3 linked regions of the Notamacropus eugenii genome follow. The protein of the gene in region 3 interacts with the protein of the main gene of each other region in a pairwise test. Links are inferred from orthologs where the notes say so. Each region holds a gene or a part of one and is shown on either strand. Other genes may lie near its edges.

Region 1 (6,872 bases), on a different chromosome or scaffold from region 3:
ACTGTTCTTACTGCCCATCTCTAGCATCACCTCCTCTAGCCCCACCCCCCATCCCTCCCACCACCTTCCAAGCCAATACCCTCCCCAGCTCATTAAAGTTTAGGGTTAGTGTTGTGGGTCACCACTAACCCTAACACCGCCCTGTTACTAAAGTCTTATAGCCTCAACTCCCTTCCTAGCTCTTTATTATCTAGCTCCCCCAACCTATCCCCATTACTTCAGTCCAATAGCCTGAAACCCCCTCCCCATCTCTTTATAATCCACCCTCTCACACAACCTATCCTCATTACAAAAAGTCCCTAGGGTTAGGGTTAGCACAGCCCCGCCCCCATTTTTAAACCCAGTCCCCCCCTCCCACAACCTGCCCTCCTTAAAGTGGTCATCTTGTCTCATACCCCCTCCCCTTCTCTTTATAAATCCAGCTCCACCCTGTTGTGCCCTATTCTCAAATCCCCTTTTATCTACCCCCTCCCACCCTTATTACCACACTCCTCTAATCTCAGCCACCTCCCCAGTTTTTAAATATTTTAACCCCTCCAGAAAACCTGCTCTTCTTTCTGTAGGGTTAGGATTAGCAACGCCCCCCCCCCACATCTTCCCCTCATTACCACAAGCTACCTCCCCATTTGGGGGCATTTTAGCCCCTCCTCACAGCCTCCTTCATTACTGCAGGCCTCCCACATCAACACCTCCCCCCTCCCACAACCTGTTCCTCAAACCCCCTCCCCTTTGCCATATTATCCCTTTCTACCTACCCTCAATGAATCTTCTGGCCTCAAGCCCCCTCCCCTTCTTTTTATATTCTAGTCCCCTCCCCTATATCTTGCTTTCATTACTACAGGCCTTGAATCTCAATCTCCCTCCCCATTTAAAAAATCTAGCCCCCCCCTACAATCTACCCTCTAATCCTTCTGTGCCCCCCAATCTATTATCTAGCCCTTCCACAAGCTACCCTCTATCCTCATATGCCCCTCCCTCTATATTATCTAGCCCCCCCACAATCTACCCTCTATCCTCATGTGCCCCCCATCTATTATCTAGCCCCCCCACAACCTACCTTCTATTCTCCTGTGCCCCCCGACAACCTACCCTCTCTCCTCATGTGCCCCTCCCTCCATTTTTATTATCTAGCCCCCCACAACCTACCCTCTTTCCTTATGTGCCCCTCCCTGTGTATTATCTAGTCCCCCCACAACCTATCCTCCATCCTCATGTGCCCCTCCCTATATATTATCTAGCCCCCCCACAACCTACACTCTCTCCTCATGTGCCCCTCCCTCCATTTTTATCTAGCCCCCCACAACCTACCCTCTCTCCTCATGTGCCCCTCCCTCCATTTTTATTATCTAGCCCCCCACAACCTACCCTCTTTCCTTATGTGCCCCTCCCTGTGTATTATCTAGTCCCCCCACAACCTATCCTCCATCCTCATGTGCCCCTCCCTATATATTATCTAGCCCCCCCACAACCTACACTCTCTCCTCATGTGCCCCTCCCTCCATTTTTATTATCTGGCCCCCCACAACCTACCCTCTTTCCTTATGTGCCCCTCCCTATGTATTATCTAACCCCCCCACAACCTACCCTCTCTCCTCATGTGCCCTTCCCTGTATATTATCTAGCCCCCCACAACCTACCCTCTCTCCTCATGTGCCCCTCCCTATATATTATCTAGCCCCCCCACAACCTACCCTCTTTCCTTATGTGCCCTTCCCTGTGTATTATCTAGTCCCCCCACAACCTATCCTCTATTTTCATGTGCACCTCCCTATATATTATCTAGCCCCCCCCACAACCTACCCTCTCTCCTCATGTGCCCCTCCCTATGTATTATCTAACCCCCCCACAACCTACCCTCTCTCCTCATGTGCCCCTCCCTGTATATTATCTAGCCCCCCACAACCTACCCTCTCTCCTCATGTGCCCCTCCCTATATATTATCTAGCCCCCCTACAACCTACCCTCTCTCCTCATGTGCCCCTCCCTATGTATTATCTAACCCCCCCACAACCTACCCTCTCTCCTCATGTGCCCCTCCCTATATATTATCTAGCCCCCCACAACCTACCCTCTCTCCTCATGTGCCCCTCCCTATATATTATCTAGCCCCCCCACAACCTACCCTCTCTCCTCATGTGCCCCTCCCTATGTATTATCTAACCCCCCCACAACCTACCCTCTCTCCTCATGTGCCCCTCACTGTATATTATCTAGCCCCCCACAACCTACCCTTTCTCCTCATGTGCCCCTCCCTATATATTATCTAGCCCCCCCACAACCTACCCTCTCTCCTCATGTGCCCCTCCCTGTATATTATCTAGCCCCCACAACCTACCCTCTCTCCTCATGTGACCCTCCCTGTGTATTATCTAGCCCCCCCACAACCTACCCTCTTTCCTCATGTGCCCCTCCCTATGTATTATCTAGCCCCCCCACAACCTACCCTCTCTCCTCATGTGCCCCTCCCTATATATTATCTACCCCCCCACAACCTACCCTCTCTCCTCATGTGCCCCTCCCTATATATTATCTAGCCCCCCCCACCCTACCCTCTCTCCTCATGTGCCCCTCCCTCCATTTTTATTATCTAGCCCCTCCCACCCTACCCTCTCTCCTCATGTGCCCCTCCCTCCATTTTTATTATCTAGCCCCCCACAACCTACCTTCTTTCCTCATGTGCCCCTCCCTATATATTGTCTAGCCCCCCCCACATGCACACTCTATCCTCATATGCCCCTCCGTATTTATTGTCTGCCCCCCCCACAACCCACCCTAATTACTTCAATCCTCTGATCTCAGACCCCTCCCCATGTCTTCTGACTCCTACCCTCATTGCTACAGTCTCCTAGCTGCCAACCCTCCCCATCTCTTTATAATGCAGCCCTCCCTCATTACTAGTCATCCAATATCACACCCCCTCCCCATTTTTAAATTTTGAGCCCTACCCCCCAACCTACTCTTCTTACGATACATGTCTAGCATCACCTCCCCGAGCGCCCCCACCCCTCCCACCACCTTCCCTCATTACTATGGTCCTGTAGAAGCCAATCCCCTCCCCAGCACATTAAAGTTTAGGCTTAACCCCTCCCAGTCTATTTGATATCTAGGCCCCTGATGCTCCTCCTGTTCCTAAAGTCTTATAACCTTAGCCCCCCCCCCCTCCCCCTTATCTGCCCCCACAACCTACCCCCATCACTACAGGCTTCTTTGTTGAATCTCCTTCCCATCCCTTTGTAACAGAGCCCCCACCTCCCACCAGCTACCTGCATTGCCACATTCCTCCAATCTCAGAGCCCACTGCAGCTCTTCAGGCTCCACTCCTGGGAATATGCCCCCATTGCTGGGGCCTTCCAGCCACAAACAGCCCCTACTGCTTCCCTAGGGTAGGGTTTGCAAACCCTACCCCCATCTCTTAACATCTTAGCAAACCCCCCCACATCCTCCCCTCATTACCACAAGCCCCCTCCCCATTTGGGGGTCTTTTAGCCCCTCACAGCCTCCTTCATTACTGCAGGCCTCCCACATCAACACCTCCCCCCTCCTACAACCTGTCCCTAATACTGTTGCCCTCTTGCCTCAAACCCCCTCCCCATTTCTTTTTATCTCTCCCTTCCTTATACCCCCCTCAATGAGTCTGCTGATCTCAAGCCCCCTCCCCTTCTCTTTATAATGCAGACCCCCTGTTTTTTATTTTTGTATTGATTTGATTTGATTTGATTGATTTTATTATTACAGGCTTCTGATCTCAAACTCTACTCATTTTTTTAATCTAGCCCACCCCCCAAACCTACCCTCATTTAAATAGTTTTTTATCCTCAAACACTCTCCTCATTTTTAAGATTTTAGCTCCCCCAAGTAGCATCACCTCCCCCTTCTCTCAATATTTTGCCACTCCCAGGCCCCCCCCCATTACTGTAATCCTGCAGACTCAAAGTCCACCCCTTTCTGTTTGGAGTCTAGCCCCCTCTCAATGCCACTCCCCTCCCCATCCCTTTATAATCCAGCCCTCCAATATCCTCCCCTCATCACTAAACTCTTCTAATCTCAGGACCCCCTCCTCACAACCTACAGGTGTCCTATATGAATACCACCTCCTCTCCCCCTCCCACAACCTAACCTCAACCCCCCCTTCCCTTTTCCTTTTCCAATGATCCCATCAGCCTACCTACAATGCTCTAGGCTTCTGCCTTCAAGCCCCCTTCCCATCTTTATGACCCAGTCTCAGTCTTCTCCCAATGGAGCCCCCTCACAACACTGCCCTCCAGTAGCCTCCCAGCCCCTCCCCACCTCCTTCGAGTCTTCTCCCTCTAGAGTCATTTGATCAGAGTCTCTGAATACTTTCTGTCTTTTGCTTCTGTGATCTGATGCTGGCATGTGCCACAGACTTGCTCCTCTCCATGTCTCCTCCATGCCTCTAGCTCAGCTGACATTCTCTGTCTTCCTTATTCACAGGCACCAGTGACTTTGGACTTCCTTCAGCAGACAGTAGAACCTACAAGTGCTGAGTGCGAGGGAGCAGCCGGATCTGGGAGTCACGTCAAACCAGACCCCCCACCCTGGGGTGGGGGGGAGGGCTCCCGGAGGAGGAGGTCAGCACCTCTGCAGAAGGACAACAGCCTGTGCCCAGACCAACCACACTCTGCCAGCTAGATAATGTGATTCAACCGTTCAGAGGTACTGGTTCAGATCACTTCCTATCTGAACTGGCCAGGTATGGCATGGAGCCCTCAGGGGCTGCCAGGGGACTTTCACTGGAGCCTCAGCTGACCAACTGACTCTTGGCCTCGTCGCCCTTTCTTCTCATTGGTGGTGGACTCTAAAACAGTAGGACTCTTCCTTGGTCTGTTGGGTCTCTCTTTGGGGCTCTCTGGCCAAGCTCCACTGTCCCTTGCCTACTGTCTCTACCCATTCTGGTCTAGCCAGAGTGATTGAGCCCCACCCCCGGGGCATCTTTGACCGTGCTTACACTGATTCCCAGGATCTTTGAATATGCCAACCAGCACTGGTTCCGGTGCTTCGGCCCGCCGCTGCAGGATGGAGGACCTCACAGCTGAGGTCCAGGCCCTGCGGGCCCAGCTCCTCCAGCAGACCGAGGAGAACAGCTCCCTGCAGACCCAGCTCCTCCAGCTGTCAGAGGAGAATGCCAACCTCCGGGGACAGCTCCAGGCCACCCCGGTAGGGGCCATGGGCCTCTCTGCCCCTCGTGGTAAGTGCCCCGTCGGCCTCCCTGAGAAGTTCGATGGGACCCCCGAGATGCTTCCCAGCTTTTTGGCCCAGAGCCGCCTGTACATGGAGCTGAGGCCTGAAGACTTTCCCACAGAGCACGTCCGCGTGTGCTTCCTCACCAGCTTGCTCAAGGGGCGCGCGGCCCGCTGGGCCACCCCCTACCTACTGGAGTCCAGTCCTCTGCTGAACAACTATGAGGCCTTCATCGATGAGTTCAAGCAGGCCTTCGAGGACCCCCAGCGCAAAGAGGCCGCCAACCGCAAGATCCGGCGTCTCCGCCAAGGCCTCGGCTCCGTCCTAGACTACGCCAGTGCTTTCCGCCTCTGTGCCCAGGACCTGGACTGGAATGAGCCGGCCTTCATCGACCAGTTCCTGGAGGGCCTCAGTGATCCCATCCAAGATGAGCTCGCTCGCGTGGAGGTGGCCCGATCGCTTCCCGCACTCATCAACCAGTGTCTGCGCATTGAGGGAAGGCTGAATTCCCGGAGAGGGGCATCTCCTGCCAGCTCTCCTCAGCCCCAGAGCGCCTCGTCCCCTCCAGTCGAGTCGGAATCAAACCAGCTGGTCACTCGGCCTCAGTTGACCCCAGAAGAGAGGGAACGTCGCCGAAGACTGAACCTGTGCATGTACTGCGGACTGGCCGGCCATTACGTGGACAACTGTCCATCCAAGAAGCCAAAGTCTTCTGGGGTGGGAAACTCCCTGGCCCCGCTGTAGAGGGACCCCCAGCGCCCGGGCCTGAACCAGAAAGGTCCCCCCCAGATGACGCGTCATCTTCTCACTTGCAACTACTGATCACGTTACATCTCCCGGACGGCTCCTACTGTACCGTCCGCGCCATGATTGACTCCGGTGCCTCCGGCAATTTTATTGACCAAGATTACGTTGCACAGACTGGAATCCCAGTAAAGATTAAGTATTGGCCGGTGCTGGTGGAAGCAATTGACGGACGGCCCTTGGCCTCTGGCCCAGTGACCCAGGAAACCCAGGAGCTGGTGGTAGACATTGGGGAACACCGTGAGAGACTCTCCTTCGATGTGACCCAGTCCCCCTTCTTCCCTGTGGTTCTGGGGGTGCGGTGGCTCACCCAGCACAACCCCTCCATCATGTGGAGTTCCCGCACCATCGTTTTTGACTCAGAGTATTGCCAGCACAACTGTCGGGCTGCTCTGCTGATGGCACCGAGCCTGGTCCCTGGAGGAATGGACGTTCAGGAAGTTCTTGTGCCGATGGCCCAGGAAGCCATCCCATACCACGCACCGTACAGTTACACTGTAGCCCCCACCGGCTACCCCTACGCAGTGTCGGACCCAGAACTGATGGCTGTCCGAGACTTCCTGGCCAAGAATGTGAAATGGGTTTGTGTCCAGCCGGCCTCCCCATTGGGGGCCCCAGTTGTCATCATGAAGAAAGTGGGAGAGCTATATCTTTGCAATGATTCTCAAAACCCAAATGCCATTGCCGTCTGGAACCAGTATCCACCACCTTCAACTCCTTACGTATTGTACCAGCTCCAAGCAGCCCCCATCTACAGGACCAGGTCCCCAGCAGGGTACACCACCTGGTCAATGTTGGGAAGGGAAATGAATGGAAAACTGTGCTTGATCCCCTTCTTGGTCACCTCCAATATCCGTTGATGCTGTCCG
Region 2 (7,191 bases), on a different chromosome or scaffold from region 3:
CTGTGGGTACAGGATTCAGGAGCATCCGTTATCAGACATGGTTGTCAGGCATGCTCATTTCCTCAGTGGAGGAAAGGAAATCTATCTGAAAATGACTATGATGTGCAATAAAAATTCTAAAAGGCATATTTTTTTTAATGGAAAAAACCTTAAGATGAGTCTGGCTCCTGTTGCCAGGTTGAGACTTAACCCTTACATAGGAAATTGAAACTAGGGGATAAGACAGACTTACCATGTCTCCTAAATGGTTCATAGCCAGTTCAAACGTGTGAAGACCAAGAGAGAATTCCAGGTTGTGGGTGGAAATATATTTCAGGTTCTTTTCCCAAATCAGACGTCGAGAGATTTCATCCACCTAAGTAGAGCAGGGGTAACAGTGACTCTGACTGAACATCCTTTGTAGACTACACTAAGTATAGACCTATACTAAATGTTGTCAGGGAGTCAGAAGGAAGATGCCAGATACTCCCATGCTCTAAGAGAGGACAATGTGAGGAAACTAAACATATGTGCATAAAAAAAAAATTTAAGAGTACTTAGAAATTAGTATATAAAGAAATGCCAAATATTATAATCATATTAAGTCCATAAGTCCTGGGATGATATCAACCAAGGGAGTACACAGACCTGGCATGGGTTATTCTGGGGAGTCTTATAGAAGAAAGGTTAGAAAGGCTACAAGGAACAGGGAATTAAGGTTGGGTAACAAGTTGGGGTAAGGCTTGGAGGTCAGAGGGGGGAAGTATGAGTAAAGAACAGGGGAGATTTGCTTCAAGTGGGAAATTTATATTGAATTTATAATGATTTATATTTCAGGGAGGGTCTAGTACTTAAAAGAATGTTACAGGATAGAAGAAGCTTTGACCCCTCAAATACTTCCAATCGTCACAACTCAGGCCTCCCTCCAGGTCCCCACATACCTTGCTGTTATATTCTTTTCCATAGGATTTCTTCCACAACTTCCACTGTGTATCTAACATCTCCTCTGGGTACAAAGCAGAACTCACCACTGATGGCAGCAACAATAACAGGATGCTGAACCCCCACATCCTGAGGGAAGAAATACTGTCCAGATTCTGGATGTGCAAGGGGTATATATGAAAACTGCATTCAAATTCCAAATCAAGAATAATGGGGGTGGGGAGAAACTGTCATTTTGGGAAGGGAGACAGAGTGCTGAGAATGGTTTATGACCAAAGAATAAGAGTCAGGGACCCAGCTCTGGGTAAAATCTAAACATTACAGAAACACATTGCTTTTCTTGTCTGATTCCTTGACTCCTCCCAGTGTACTTTATCCTGGCAAAACATCACCCAAACACACACAATAGAGAAACAAAATAAATATATATATTGAGATGTGTCTAAGGCAGGGCGATTAGTCCTTTGCACCAACGTATAAAATTTAGAGGGCACGGCTAGTATTTGTAATTTTTCAGCAGTTTAGTGAAATTAGAAAGAAAATAGTTAATTAAAATAAGAAAGCTACCAGATGGTGGGCTAAAGAGTATTCCAAAGTTTCTATCTGCTCACCCTCCCACATACATCCATTCCTTTCAACTGAGCACTCACTTTGTACTGTTTGCCTTTGAGTTGTCTTCAGTGCAAAGGTTTCTTCTAGCTCTACATATGTGGAAGGGAAAATTAAAAATGATCTGATTAATATCTTCTCCCTCTCCCTCCAGTATGCCCAGCAAGCCCAGAGGAGATGATAAGGAAAAGGGAATGGCCAAGATCAAATTAGAATTTTAATAGACACCAAGTGGAGGTTTTGACCTGATCAGTGAATCTCCTTAGACTCTGACCTACTTTTCTTTCAAAAGAACCCATTCCTAAATTCTTAGATATAGAATGGACTGCTGAGCCAAAATTTGCTAATTGGAAGGATTTTCCTCCCTGTCCCAATCTCTCTTGCTTTCTCTGCTTCCCATTCTCCTTACTTATTTCTATCTCCCTTTCCCTAACCCTTCTCCAAAATCCTCCCCTCTCCTCTACTCCCAACTCTACTGTAGTTTTTTTTTCCTCCTCCTTTTTCAGGAAACTGCTCTAATATCAACCAGCTGCTGTGGTCAGAAAGATTTCCCTTTCTTTTCCACTGTCAGAAGCCCAGTTTCTACATCCCAAGAAAATCAAGCATGAGCAGCCCCTGAAGGTCAAGTACTCAGTCCCACCCTGATCTGTGGGACTGTGTTATAAAGCCTCCTTCACAAAAGCAGCTATGCAGAATAACATGCCACATGACATCCTAGGTACTAACAATTTTGAGTAAGCTTAGGCTACTGAGGGCCATTTTGACCATGTCTTCAGTCCTTTTCATGATTGTACCGGAAGGGCCAGGGCTGAGAGACCCTCTATACAACCCCAGCCATGTCAAATATTAGCAGTTACCATGCTGGGAGGCCCAGAAATCTTAGAAAGATGGGATAGCTTTAACACTCTCCCCTCCACTTGGGTGTTGTAGTATAAGGATCCCTAGATCTAAACTCTCTTAATCCTTCCTCTCCCTATCCTCTTTTGAAATCAGGCAAACAACTACAAGCAGAGCCTTGGGGGAATTCGAGTGGGTGGGAGGCCCCTAACCCTTCTGCCCTCCTCAGAGTTTTAGGACAAAGTCCACTCACAAGATACATTGCAGATTTCCAAAGAAGAAATATCTATGTGGCAACAAAATTATCCCTAGAAGTCACTTCACCCATGTCGTAGTATCCCCTGATTTTCCTAAAGAAATCCACAGGCAGGGATGAGGAGCGGAAGGGCAGGGGAAGGGTAAAGGAAAAGCGCAGCTTTACCTGATGATGGTCTGTCCTCTAGTCTGGAGAGGAAGGCACAGGCACGTATCTGGGGGGATGATTATGGATGCTAGTTTTATTCCAAAAAGTTTGAGGAAGTCAGTTCCAGCAGTCGGCTGGAAAATCTGGACTGTCAGGCTGGGAAGTGGCCAGGAGGAAGAGGGGGGAGAGGGGCAGAGTGGAAGGAAACCAAAAGAGAGAAGGGAAGGAGGAGAACAGATTTGCATATCAACAGGGAAGAGTTGCTGGGTGTTATTTCACATGACTTTGTGGCACACAGAAAACTCGTCTTGGAAGCTGGGCTATTCAGCCTCAACACAGGATCCTCCCAAGCTTTATCTTCTCTATCTTCTGGCTGAGAAGGGTACTGGCTGTGGGAGGCTAGTTTTGCCTCCCTAGTCCCACCAGACTGACTTTTCACACGTACTAAATACCTACCGTTTGGGGTACTGTTTACTTTAAAACACACACACACACACACACAAGAGCAATGTTTCTTTTAGTCTGTAAGATTAGCAATGTCTTAGGTCACTGAAATTCTCAGCAGATGACCTTCACTCCTATTTTAGAGACCATTCTCTCTCCTAACCCTGGATGTCGAAACTTCTTTTTCTTCAAATCTATTTTTCCTTCAAGTCTCTCAGAAGAACTAATGCACCTGAATAAAAGTAACCCACTACACCACCTGTGGTGTTCATCATATGTTCTTGTGGACCCTGAGAGAACTTATTGGGGAAGAGTACCATTGAAAACCAAATTGTAGACCTACTTCTGCCCCTAAGTAGCAGTTTGGTCTTACATAAAAGATTTCACTTTTCTGGGTAGGTGTGTGTGTGTGTGTGTGTGTGTGTGTGTGTGTGTGTGTCTGTGTGTGTGTGTCTGTGTGTGTCTGTGTGTGTCTGTGTGTGTCTATGTACACAAAATGAGGTGATTGAACAAAACAATTTATAAGGTCTATAAGTCTAAGCTCTTCTCTAACTTCAGTCATTTCTTCTCCATTAATTATTTATATCCACTTTAAAAGGACAGCTTGGTGGTGAAATGGATGGGGTGCCAGATAGACTCATCTTTCTGGGTTCAAATCTGGCCTCAGACTCTTACTAGCTGTGTGACACTGGGCAAGTCACTGTTTGCCTCAGTTCCTCATCAGTCAAATAAGCTGGCAAACCATTCCACTAACTTTTTCAAGAAAACCCCAAATGGAGTCACAAAGAATCAGATACAACCGAAGTGACTCAATAAATAAATCCACCTAAAAAGGTCTTCCCTATCCTAAGAAAGAATCTTGATTTTCACCCTGATGAAGACTTCAAGGCACTGTGCTCTCTTCTTCCTTTCACTGCCAAATTTCCTGAAGGAGTGGTCTACACTTACTTCTCTACCCTTGGCAGTCTGCCTTCTGTTTCTAACTTTACTTCACTGTGCTCTCTCAAGATCATCATACAATAATCATCCCTCTTTACCTAAAGAATTTAACAGTTACACCAATGAAAAAACAAGCACTTCCTCCTTCCCTGGCTGCTTAATTCTGCTTACATCTGGTACTCTTGTCTGACCACTGTGTGTCTATGTATATATGTTTATGTATGTATATGTGTGTATATATATACACACATATGGTCTGTATGTTCACATATAGGTATGTGTGTACACACATATATTTAAATAAGTACATACCCATGTGTGAATGTATGTACATGTATGAATGTAGTTATATATGTGCCCCATTAGAACATGAGCTTAAGTAGGGATGGTCCTTCGCTTTTTTGTTTGTATCCCTAACAGTTAGTAGTGTTTACCACATAGTAGGCATGTAAATGGCTTATGACTGGTTATTTTTTTTATGTATGTGTGTGAATGTAAGGTCTTTGAGGTAATTTTTGCCTTGTACCTGTTAAGCAGGACTTGGCACATTGTAGATGCTTAATAAATGCTTGTCGATGGACTGACATCTCTTTCTACTAGATTAAAAGCTTAAAGACATCTAATCTTTTTCTTTTCCCCAGCACCTTGTATATTGCAGATCCTCCCAAGAACTTGAATCACGAAAAATCATGTTCAAAACGTGCCCCAGACTTTGTGTTTTACCTAAAGCAAATAGTTCTCTCTCAACCCTAGTCCCACCAAACTCTCAGCCCATTTCTTCATCAGTAAAATAGGGATATTACATACCTCAATCAAAGGACTATTATAAGAATCAAACAATATTATGTATAAAAGTGCTTTGTAAACCTTAAAACACCCCATGAATGTTATAAATTCTAGTTTATCATTCATCTTATGGATTTAAATGTGTTTGGTACAAGGCTGTTATCAGGGTAGCAAATTCCTCCCAGGGATGCACATCAGGAACTCCTCTGGAACTGGCTTGTGGCCATTTGGTTAGTACGTGACAGAATCAGAAGGTGAACCATTGTAATCTTCTTGATTCCAAGGTCAGCCCCTCAATCCATTTTGTCAAATTCTTACAAATTCAAAATTCAGCCACTTTATGGAGTGAGGTAACCAAACTTCCTGCCTCTTGTAAGTTATTCACCAGGTCAGTATGTCTCTACCTCTCCGACCCCATTCAAGATAGTATCTTTCCTATATAGAGGAACCTTTTTCTCAAGGAAAAGAAATGATTCATGACATAGGAGACTGTTCAGCTACAAAATAATTGAATTAGAAATAGCAATTCCAATAATGACAACACATAAATCAATGCCAGAAGCATTGAGACCACGGGGAAGGTTGAAGGGATTTCCCTTTTCTTAAGTGTTGAATGGTAGGAATGGGTATTGTCTGATGATTATTACATGCCAGTCATATGAGCCCTTCTAGACCATCCTCCCCCTTCCCAGCATGTGACAGATCACAAGAGTCTGCCTCAGCCCCAACCCCCCCCTTCCCCCCCCTCCCCCAGTAAACAGATGACATGGGAGAAGGAAAAAGGATGATTCCAGCAAGATAAACACATTTGGTTTCTTTTCCCCAACACAGCTGGATTCTAGCCCTAGATTTCCCTGCAGTTCAAGCTCAAATTAGTCTAGTTTCTTCAGCCCATGCTACAGAAGACAGTCCCAGAAGGAAACCAAGAACAAGCAGAAACAGCCTGTCTCCCAATACTTAATTTTTTTCCATCAGAGAATAAAGATATTTGGGGTCAGAGTCTAGTAGAGATAACTTTTTCCTGCAGGGTTTAGAGCTCTCTCTTCCTTGGAACTCTGCTATATATATAGGCGTCCTCTCTTCCCATCCCCTTCCATTTCTTGAAAGTAGCAACATCAAAGGGCCAGTAAAAAAGCAGATGAATGATCAGAGCTCTGATTTGAGGTTTGTTTTTTTTTAAATACAGATTATATAAGCATCTCATTTAGGGAATAGTTGTTTCTTATCTTTGGTGTCTTAGTATGTGTATTTTTTGGTGGAGCTAACCTGTGCTCTGTGTCACACAGCACATTTTTGTCTTTCTGTCTGTGTATACCTTGGCAGGAAGCATTAAGCAAGAAACCTGGGCAGGGATGGTGCGGTCACAATCAAGACTAAAACACACAAGGATTTTTAAAAAGGAAAAATATCTTTGCTTTAAAATCTCTGCTACATAATGACATCATTTGTGCCACCATGAGACTTGACATAGGTGCCAAGTAACAAAGAATGGCCAACAAGAAAAATAAACACAACTGAAAATAAAACCCTGAAGGAAGAGTAGGAACAAAACCCCCCAGAGTTTTTTTCCCTCCCTCCCAAAACCCTACAATAACTGTACAATATTATAGTCCTAATCACATTTAAAAATAATTGATTATCAAAAGACAGATTCAAATGGAAACTCAACTTTTTGGCTTCTTAAATTGTGATATAAATATAATATATATATAATATATATAATGTATGTATGCTGTGTGTGTGTGCACATAGATTTTTAAAAAATAAAATATCTCCTTCTCCCTGTCTTTTTGCTATCTGGTACCAGGGTGAAGGGAAGGGGAGAGGAGAGGCCAAATCAATATGACATTGCCCCCCTTCCTCCCCAAGGTCATCTGTTTTCAAGACACCTACAACTACATTAAAAACATCTTGCCCTTAATAACTCAGCCTTGTAATTAAAAACTGGCCTGAGGCAATAGGAAAAAAACACTGTTGTCACTTCACTGTGACCTAAGGCTCAAATGCCATAATAGTAGCCTATATCCTCAACCAGAGGGCTACACTAATTGTTAAGAAGCCCTGTTTGATATGGGTTCCTACCCATCTGCCACATAGTATTATTATATTTATACCCACTTGCCACTCCCTACTCCCAGCAAAAATTTTTGAGACCCAACTTGACTCTAAAGACTAGGCAGAAAACAAGGTGTAGCATCATAAACCCTTTTTTCATCTGTGTGCTAGTAACAAGGAAAAATGTCTTCTTTTTT
Region 3 (8,049 bases):
CACTGATGTGTTAGTATCAGTATAAATAAAATACGAGAAAGACAAATATCTAACAAAATTCATTATTCATTCCAATATTTTCACTATCTGATTATTTCTAACTAGCAGACCTTTCAAACAGAAGTATCTTGGGTGTTACCTAGTGCAACAAGTCAGCTCTCATTTTATGGATAAGAAATCTGAGGCCCAGATAAAAGCAATTTGTTCAAAGGCAGAGTCAAGACTAGATTCCCAGAATGCCTGAAAATTCAAAACTTGATTAGCTTAGTGTCACAAAAAAGAAAAATACCAAAATATTCACCTTTCAAGAAATTAATTATAAAATTAGAATGGCTTGTAAAGTAATCAAAAATGGCTATCAATTAAACTGAAATGTTCAAACACACTTTAAAAAACTTGGGGCAGTTTAGGTGGCACAGTGGATAGAGAGAGGCTGGCACTGGAGTTAGCAGGACCTGAGTTCAATTTTAGCTCCAAACGGAATAAATTGCCTCCACAAAAAAACATTTTCCAGTAGAAGACAGTTAAAATGGTGACTTTATTAAAGTAGTTTCTCACTAACCAGAACACAACAGAACTACTTTTACTCAAAGTTGAACATAACTTTACCAATAATGTTATTTAAACAAATTACCAGGGTGGTACACCAAAAGAATCAGCAAAAACCAGATATCATGGCAGTTCTTAAAGATTCATTTTCAATAATTTAATGGCAAACAAAAAAGTAAATTAACATAAATTATGCCTAAACTAATGCCAAGTCATTCATCTAGTTTTTTCTAACTTAACTTACATTTGTTCAATTTCATTGTTCCATTACAATTGAAAGATGAAAAAATTTTATCAAATTATTTTGTTAGCTTCATTTTCCAATGCCACGTCACAGTCAAAAGTTTTCTTTTTTTTAACCTCTCAACCTATGACAGTATGTAATTCAAGCTAAAGTCAATTTAAAACAAATTTCAGAAGCAAAAGTAAAACAAATCATAAACAAAGGATTACAAATTACCTCAGAGGCCATTAGTTCAATCTGTCTTCACTTTCCAAATCAGGAAATTGCAATCCAGAGACTTGTAACTTGTCTAAAGTCACACAAGTACCTGTCAAAGATGGTTTTTGAACTCAGGTCCTCTGACTCTTAGGCAGGGCTCTTTCACTCTACCACAGCGCCTCCCCAAAAAGGTCTTTGACTAGCTGTTCAAGTGACATCACATTTGAAAACTGCTTTTTTCCTTAAAACAAATGTCTATTTTATACCTCATTTCAACTTTGTTTTTCTTTAAATAGTTATTTCATTTTTTTTAGTAAAACCAGGTCTATACATATTATATATGCAAAGTAAACACTATTACAAAGCTATCATAACTGGGATCAAGCAAACCAATCAGGAGATGCCTTACTTACTAGAATAATTTGAGACACTAGGAAAAGAACCAACTTGATAAAAACTGGCAGAGATGCAGCTATAAAGTGGAGGTATGGAGATTAAATGTCAGATCCTAAACCTATTCCAATAAAATGGATGCCTCCCTCCCAAGCCACTGAAGTCAATGAAACACTTTTTTGAAATGGACCTTTTTTAATGCACAGAAGGAAGCACAGACAACACTGTATTGAAAGTAACATACAGAACTACATTTTTTCTCCACAAAAGCAAGTAGTATAAAATGGAAATTCACAATTTCAAAGGGAGGGGTTTTTTTGTATTCTGCTGTGTAAAGATACTTTTGGTGTTTTAAGTTCAGAATTTTTAAAAAGAGAAGAAAAAATGGTGTACTTAAGATAAATGCTGTAAACTGATGCTTGTTTTATTCGTATAATTTGGGGAGGGGGGGGGTGATACTGATCTCTATGCCTAACATCTATTAGTAGTTCTAAGCCCTCTGTAAAAACTGGGATTTTGAAACTAAGAAATGTGCTGAATCAAGAAATATGAGCCATTTTTTTAAGGCATCTGGGAATTATTGAACATGGGCTTATAATGAAGATTTCTGCTGGTGCATGGAAGCCCAGGACCCTTTCTAGAATTGGGGATAAGGGCAAATGTGCCAAATGGAACCCAGTAATTGCTGAGAAGAGGACAGAGGAGTTGCATTAATGTAAAAGGAAAGGCAACTTCCATTCTCAGTACCATGTAACTTTCTGTCCTACTAGGCCTATACTCCAAAGAAATCAAAGAGGGAAAGGACCCTATGCACCCCCTCCCTAAGTAAAATTATGGTAGTTTTTTATAACGGCAAAGAATTGGAAACTAAGGGAGTACCCTTAGAGGGAATACCTGAACAAATAATAGTATACAAATGTAATGGAATACTATTATTCCATAAGAAATTTAAAAAGAGAGAGTTTCAGAGAAATCTGTTAAGACTTGTATGATGCAGGGTAAAGCGAGGACAACAGAAAACAATTTATACAATAACATTTTAAGAACTACTTAAAGACTTAAGAATTATGATAAATGCAATGATCATCCATGATTCCCAGAGCACCAGTGATGAAAAATGATAGTCATCTGAGAATGCACTCAAGATGCAGAGTGATACATACACATTTTTAACATAGCACAGAAATTTATTTTTCTTTACTGTACATATTTGTTAAAGAATTTTCTTTTTCTTTTTCTTTGGGGGGGGGGGATAGGGAAGTGTGAAGGAAAGAAAATAAATGCTGAATGATGGGAAAAAAATGTCTTGTTTTTTTTAATTGTTAAGACTCTCTGATACTTCCACTGAAGAGGTGAGGAGCCCCTAAGAAGGCATAGGGGAGGCTGATACAAAGGCTCAGGCACAGGATCTCATTTTTTTAAAGGTACATGTACATATATATCCATTTAAATAGCCAATTTGCCAACCTTTTCCCGTATCTACTAAAAAAGGTAATAAACATGCTCATTCAGTGTAAGATTCTATTACACAGCATTCTAGATCCAGAATCCTGGTCTACTAAGCAAGTCAAATTAACTAAAATGTATCAAAAATTACATTCCCCCTCCCCAACAAGGAAAAAATAATAATAGTCACTGAAACCAATCACATACTAATGGGAGTTTAATAAGATTTATCTGTTGCTAATTTCTGTTAAAATTTTTATCCTGGACCCTTACTTTGATGGAGGTGTAATTTTATCCACATGGGTTCTCCCTCAGATACCACCAGCTGCGATCCACACATGATTTCTCATCTTTTTAAAGTCATTTATCCAGGTCTCATCATAATTTAGGGAGGAAAGGTTCCACCCAACTTGCTATGCACCTCCTTAGCTTCTCTTCATGCTGTATGGATAAGAAAAGAGCATTTGAGCTGTCCATCCTACAATCTGACAATGACAGACCCCACCTTCTTTTTTTGATCATGTATTTCTTACATCTTTACAAATCAGAATTTGCACAAGAGAAATAATTGAACACCTACTCATGTCCACGCTTCTTCATTGCCTGTTGGATGACCCTCAACTTTAATTCTTCTGAAACTACTGTATTTCATGACTCACAACCAATAATCATAACTGTAAAGATACAAGTATAAAAAAAATGAGTCTCAAAAAAAGTCAAAAGGCATTCCTTTCTAGGAAGGTTCCATATGAACCAAAATAATCAATGATATTTTACGGTAGCAGAAAAAGTAGGAATGGTTAAACCAATGAGGCTACACGAAGCTAATGTACTATTACTGTGCAGTTTGTGGTCGTCTTTCCTTGCCAAGGAAGACCATGCCATCAGAGAAATTATGACATGATTTTGTTTTGAGTGAGGGAGGGCTGTGCAGGTCACCAGCCTCACTTCTCCTCCAGAAAAATCTGAATCCAGTGACCAGACATTCATCAGGATGACTGGAGATGACCCAGGATGCAATGGGAGACCTTGAGCAGTCTTTGCAGGTACTCCCTTAGGGTGAGGCAATGCCCATTCATTGAAAAGGCCTGTTTAAGAAGTAGCCAGGACATGGCCCCTTTAAGGAGGCCAAGAAAAAGAAAAGACATCAGGCTGGGTGGGAAACAACAACAGTTACTGTTGATAACCACTGCAAAGTTAGGAGGGTCGAGAGAAACCCTTAGGTAGGGGCCCAATGGCATCCCTGTTTCAGAGTGAAGTAGGTTTATGGTTTGGGGAGAGGACAGGACAGGACAGAACAGAACAGGAGCAAAGAAGAGCATTCATTGAATAGGACTCTTTAAGAAGTAGCCAGGGCATGGCCCCTGTGAGGCTGGTGACCTGCACACCCTCCCTCACTCAAAACAAAGTCAAGTGCAACTCATGTCATCATTTCTCTGATGACATGGTCTTCTTTGGCAATGAAGGACAAAACACAATCCTGTGAGTAGATGCAGGGGCTGAATGGGGGGGTGGGGGAAGAACACAGGGAGCTGGGTAATTCTAACTCCTCCTCTCCTGTCTGCTTCCCCCTCCCCTTTCTTCTCCTCTCCAAAGGACTGTAAATATGGATGGCCAAAAGATGCCCCGTTTTACTGGCTCCTTTCCTTCCCTTCCCCTTCTCCTGTTCTGTCCTGTTCTTTCCTCTTCCCAAACCTTAAACCTCCTGCAGTCTGAAACTGGGAAGCCAATGGGACCCTGCCTAAAGGCTCCTTTTGACCCTCCTAGCTTTGGAGTGATTATCAATTGTTGCTGTTTCTCACCCAGCCAGATGATTGTGTATTACTGTACATAAGAAATGTAAAAAATTCAAATATGGATGGGAAGACATATGAATTGATGCAGAATAAGGAAAATAATACACAAAACAACTACAACAATGTAAATTGAAAGAGCAACAAAAATAGAAATCAAGTGCTAAAGAGAAAGTTAAAAACTACACTTTTCCTCCTTTTCAGAGATGGGGAACTTATGGAACACTGCATATATTGTCAGACTCAGTTCACGTGGATTAGTTTAGTTGAACTCCCTAAGTCTTTTTTGTTCCTTCTCAAAGTTATTCTTTGTTAGAGAGGATGGCTCTTTGGGTATGGTAAATGCTGGAAGGATATACTGGGAGATTAAGATGACATAATAAAAACAAAATACTTAAGTATCTCCATCCCCACCCCTGCCTCCACCTCCAATCCACCCTTGTGACAGAGCTGCCAAAGTGATTTTCCTAAAGCACAAATCTGTCTTGTCATTTCCCTACTCAGTCAGCTCCAGTCGCTACCCTATTTATTCCAGGCACAAATATAAACACCTCAGTTTGTTACTTAAAGTCCTTCACAATATAACCCTAACCTATTTTCCAGCTGTACTGCATATTAATCTATTTAATCAACACTAAGGTCCACACAGCAAGGAGGCTTTCTAATTGTTCCCCATAACCTATATGCCTGTAATGTACCTCCTAATGACCTCTGTCTCTCAAAATTCTTACTTTCCTTCAATGCTCAGTTCAAGTCCCACCTTTTACATTAAGGATTCTAACTTCCCAGCTTGGTCATTAGAAGCATTATGAAATTTCCCAAAGGCAATCTGACTGGTTCTCCTCCTCCAATTCAGTTCTCAGATCAGTGCACTGTCCATTCACAATGTCTGCTCAGTATTTATGTACTGATGGAGGACTTATGGGCTGTCCATTCAACTGCATGTCAGACTCAGTTCATGTCTTACTATCCAGGATTTCTTCACCCAGTGTAGAGGCAAATTCTCTTGGACCATTAGGGACCTCATTTAGGAGGTTCTACAACGATCTGAGATTTGATGAAACCAGAACAAAATAATCTGCAAACAAAAGTACCTGAAGAGGACTGTAAGATCTTATATTTGTCTTAACCTTTCAGTCAACTGTGTGTTCTTAAGAATGTATCTGGTACAGAATATCCTTTAGGAGTGCCTAACTGTTCAAACTTTCATCAATGATGTCCTTAATGTGTGTATGGATTCAGCTCATAAAAAATTTGAATAGGAAAACAGGGACCTAGGTCAGTAGCTAACATTCTGCCATTTTGGGGGGTAATAAAAGTCGAGTTTTTCCTTTCATATTTCTTTTATGTAATGATTTTTCTTTTTTTTTTTTTAGCAAGGACAGTGCTATTAAGAGTACAAACGTGGCAATGTTGTGGCCGAAGGCACTCACTGATGATGAAAAAGTTCATAAAAATCTTTACAGTCAAGACGGGAAAGACACACAGGAAAAGATGCCCAAGTAAGCTGGAGCAGAAAGAAAATGTACAAAATGACAACAATGTAAACTTAAACGGCAGCAAACAAAAAAAAAAAAAAATGGTACTGAGAGCAATGTAATTATAATGATCCAGCTTGGCCCAAGAGAAGAGTTAAGGAAATGTACTTCCCTCCCTTCTTGGGGGAGGGGAGGATGGGTAGAAGGGAAAGAAAGAGAAGGGAATTGGTATGAATGGAAAAAAATACACATAGCATCAAATACGACTTATGTGTTGGGTTTTCTGAATGACTTTCCTTCACCACTTCTTTATTCTGTAACAAGGAATGGCTTTGTAGGGTAGCAGAAGAAAAATTTTCAGAAATATAAGTGATTTAAAAACAAAAAAAATTTATCTACAATAATTTTTTATTTTAAAATCTTTTTTATCATTCTTGTTAGTTTTTCATCTGTTCTTACACCTTCATCCTTAAACACCCTTCATCTTCTACCATGATTCTCTGGCAAGGTTTAACCAAAAAAATTTTATTTTAAACAGGTGTGGCCATGCAAAGAGTCATGGCAGTCTATAATAGCAAGAAAACAAAGATGTCTGCTGGGTCAAGTGATTTCTAGACTCTGGGATTTCTTATATTAATTAGGTTGCAACAACTTCCTCATGCAACGTTCAAATTCTGTGTTGATGTCTGTTTTATCTATTTCTTATTTGTGTCAACTGCCTGATTAAGTTAGTCAGGTTAGAGAACATTCAATTACAAACACATATCTTCTCTCATTTGTATTGTCTTTACTGAAGATAAATACCTGTAAGACCCACATACTTCAAGAATTATTGTGAGGTTAAAACAAGGCAATGTGTATAAAAATACTTTGCAAACCTCAAAGCTACATAAATGAAATCATTGTTTTAGTTATCTGGACAAATTCTCTCTCCTGACCTCTGTTGGTACCTTTCTTGAATTTCCTCTGTATCACTTTCCCTCCCAGAGAATCATCTCAGAGGACAAAAATTATTTTTAATCTTTGAAGATTTTATTTTAGAAAATAAAAAGGGGGAAATAGCAGCAAAATCAGTGATAATGTTCTAAAATGGCAAATTCCTTTCACCTCCCTCTCTGCCTCTCCCCTCCCACCCAATCCCCACTGTACTCTCCCACCCCTGTCCCCCAAATAATAAAGTAGCTAATAAGGGAGAGAGCTACCTTCTCATTTCATCTTTGGGGAGAATGGTTCTTTGTAATTTTGTACTGTTCATTTTCTATTGTTTTGTGGTAGGGATTTTTTCTGCTTACATTGTTTTGAGAAAGACAGAGAGTTTGCACAGTCTGGCAAATATTGGACACAGACCAGTATCTTACATCATTTACCATGGTCAAAATAGATACATGACCTAAATATAAAAGGAGATATCATATGAAAATTAGAAGAACATGAAATATTACCTACCAGACTTAGGGATAGAGAAAGAATTAATGAATAAACAAGAAATAGAGAGCATTACTAGATGTAAAATGGACAATTTTGATTATATTTAATTTTAAAGGGTTTGTACACAGGACACAGAGGCAGTTTTTCGATGAATAAATCAAAATCATAGATAAAAAATGCTTTAAATCATTATTGATTAGAGAAATGCAAATTAGAACAACTTTTTAGATATCATCTCACCTATCAATTTGACTAAAATAATCAAAGGGGAAAATGACAACGTTGCAGGGGATGTGGCAAAATTGGCACCCTAATACACTGGGGTAGACATGTGAACTGATCTAGTCATTTTGGATAACAATGTAGAATTTTGCCCAAATGTTATAAAACTGTGATCCAGAAATATTTTACAATTAATTTTCATTTTCAACATTCACTTCCATAAGATTTTGAGTTTTAAATTGTCTCCCTCTCCCTCTACTCCCCCTTCTCCAAGATGGCATACAATCTGATATAGGCT

Evidence for each region. The genes of interacting proteins can lie anywhere in the genome.
Region 1: the proteins of SIAH1 (region 3) and PEG10 interact in binary tests that used the Homo sapiens proteins (3 or more experiments, as listed by UniProt). The link is inferred for Notamacropus eugenii from reciprocal best matches to the Homo sapiens genes SIAH1 and PEG10.
Region 2: the proteins of SIAH1 (region 3) and CTSK interact in a two-hybrid assay, tested with the Homo sapiens proteins (2 studies listed by BioGRID). The link is inferred for Notamacropus eugenii from reciprocal best matches to the Homo sapiens genes SIAH1 and CTSK.

What each region holds. Positions count from the first base shown.
Region 1 is NC_092874.1:503,506-510,377, forward strand, and holds PEG10 (retrotransposon-derived protein PEG10), read left to right. Parts: upstream 1-4,562; 5' UTR 4,563-4,989; coding exon 4,990-5,943; 3' UTR 5,944-6,313; downstream 6,314-6,872.
Region 2 is NC_092873.1:304,709,520-304,716,710, forward strand, and holds the start of CTSK (cathepsin K), read right to left. Parts: upstream 3,060-7,191; 5' UTR 3,016-3,059; coding exon 2,789-3,015; intron 1,623-2,788; coding exon 1,572-1,622; intron 1,051-1,571; coding exon 921-1,050; intron 356-920; coding exon 233-355; intron 1-232. UniProt on the Homo sapiens protein: Thiol protease involved in osteoclastic bone resorption and may participate partially in the disorder of bone remodeling. Displays potent endoprotease activity against fibrinogen at acid pH. May play an important role in extracellular matrix degradation.
Region 3 is NC_092872.1:463,105,612-463,113,660, forward strand, and holds the start of SIAH1 (E3 ubiquitin-protein ligase SIAH1), read right to left. Parts: upstream 3,090-8,049; 5' UTR 1-3,089. UniProt on the Homo sapiens protein: E3 ubiquitin-protein ligase that mediates ubiquitination and subsequent proteasomal degradation of target proteins.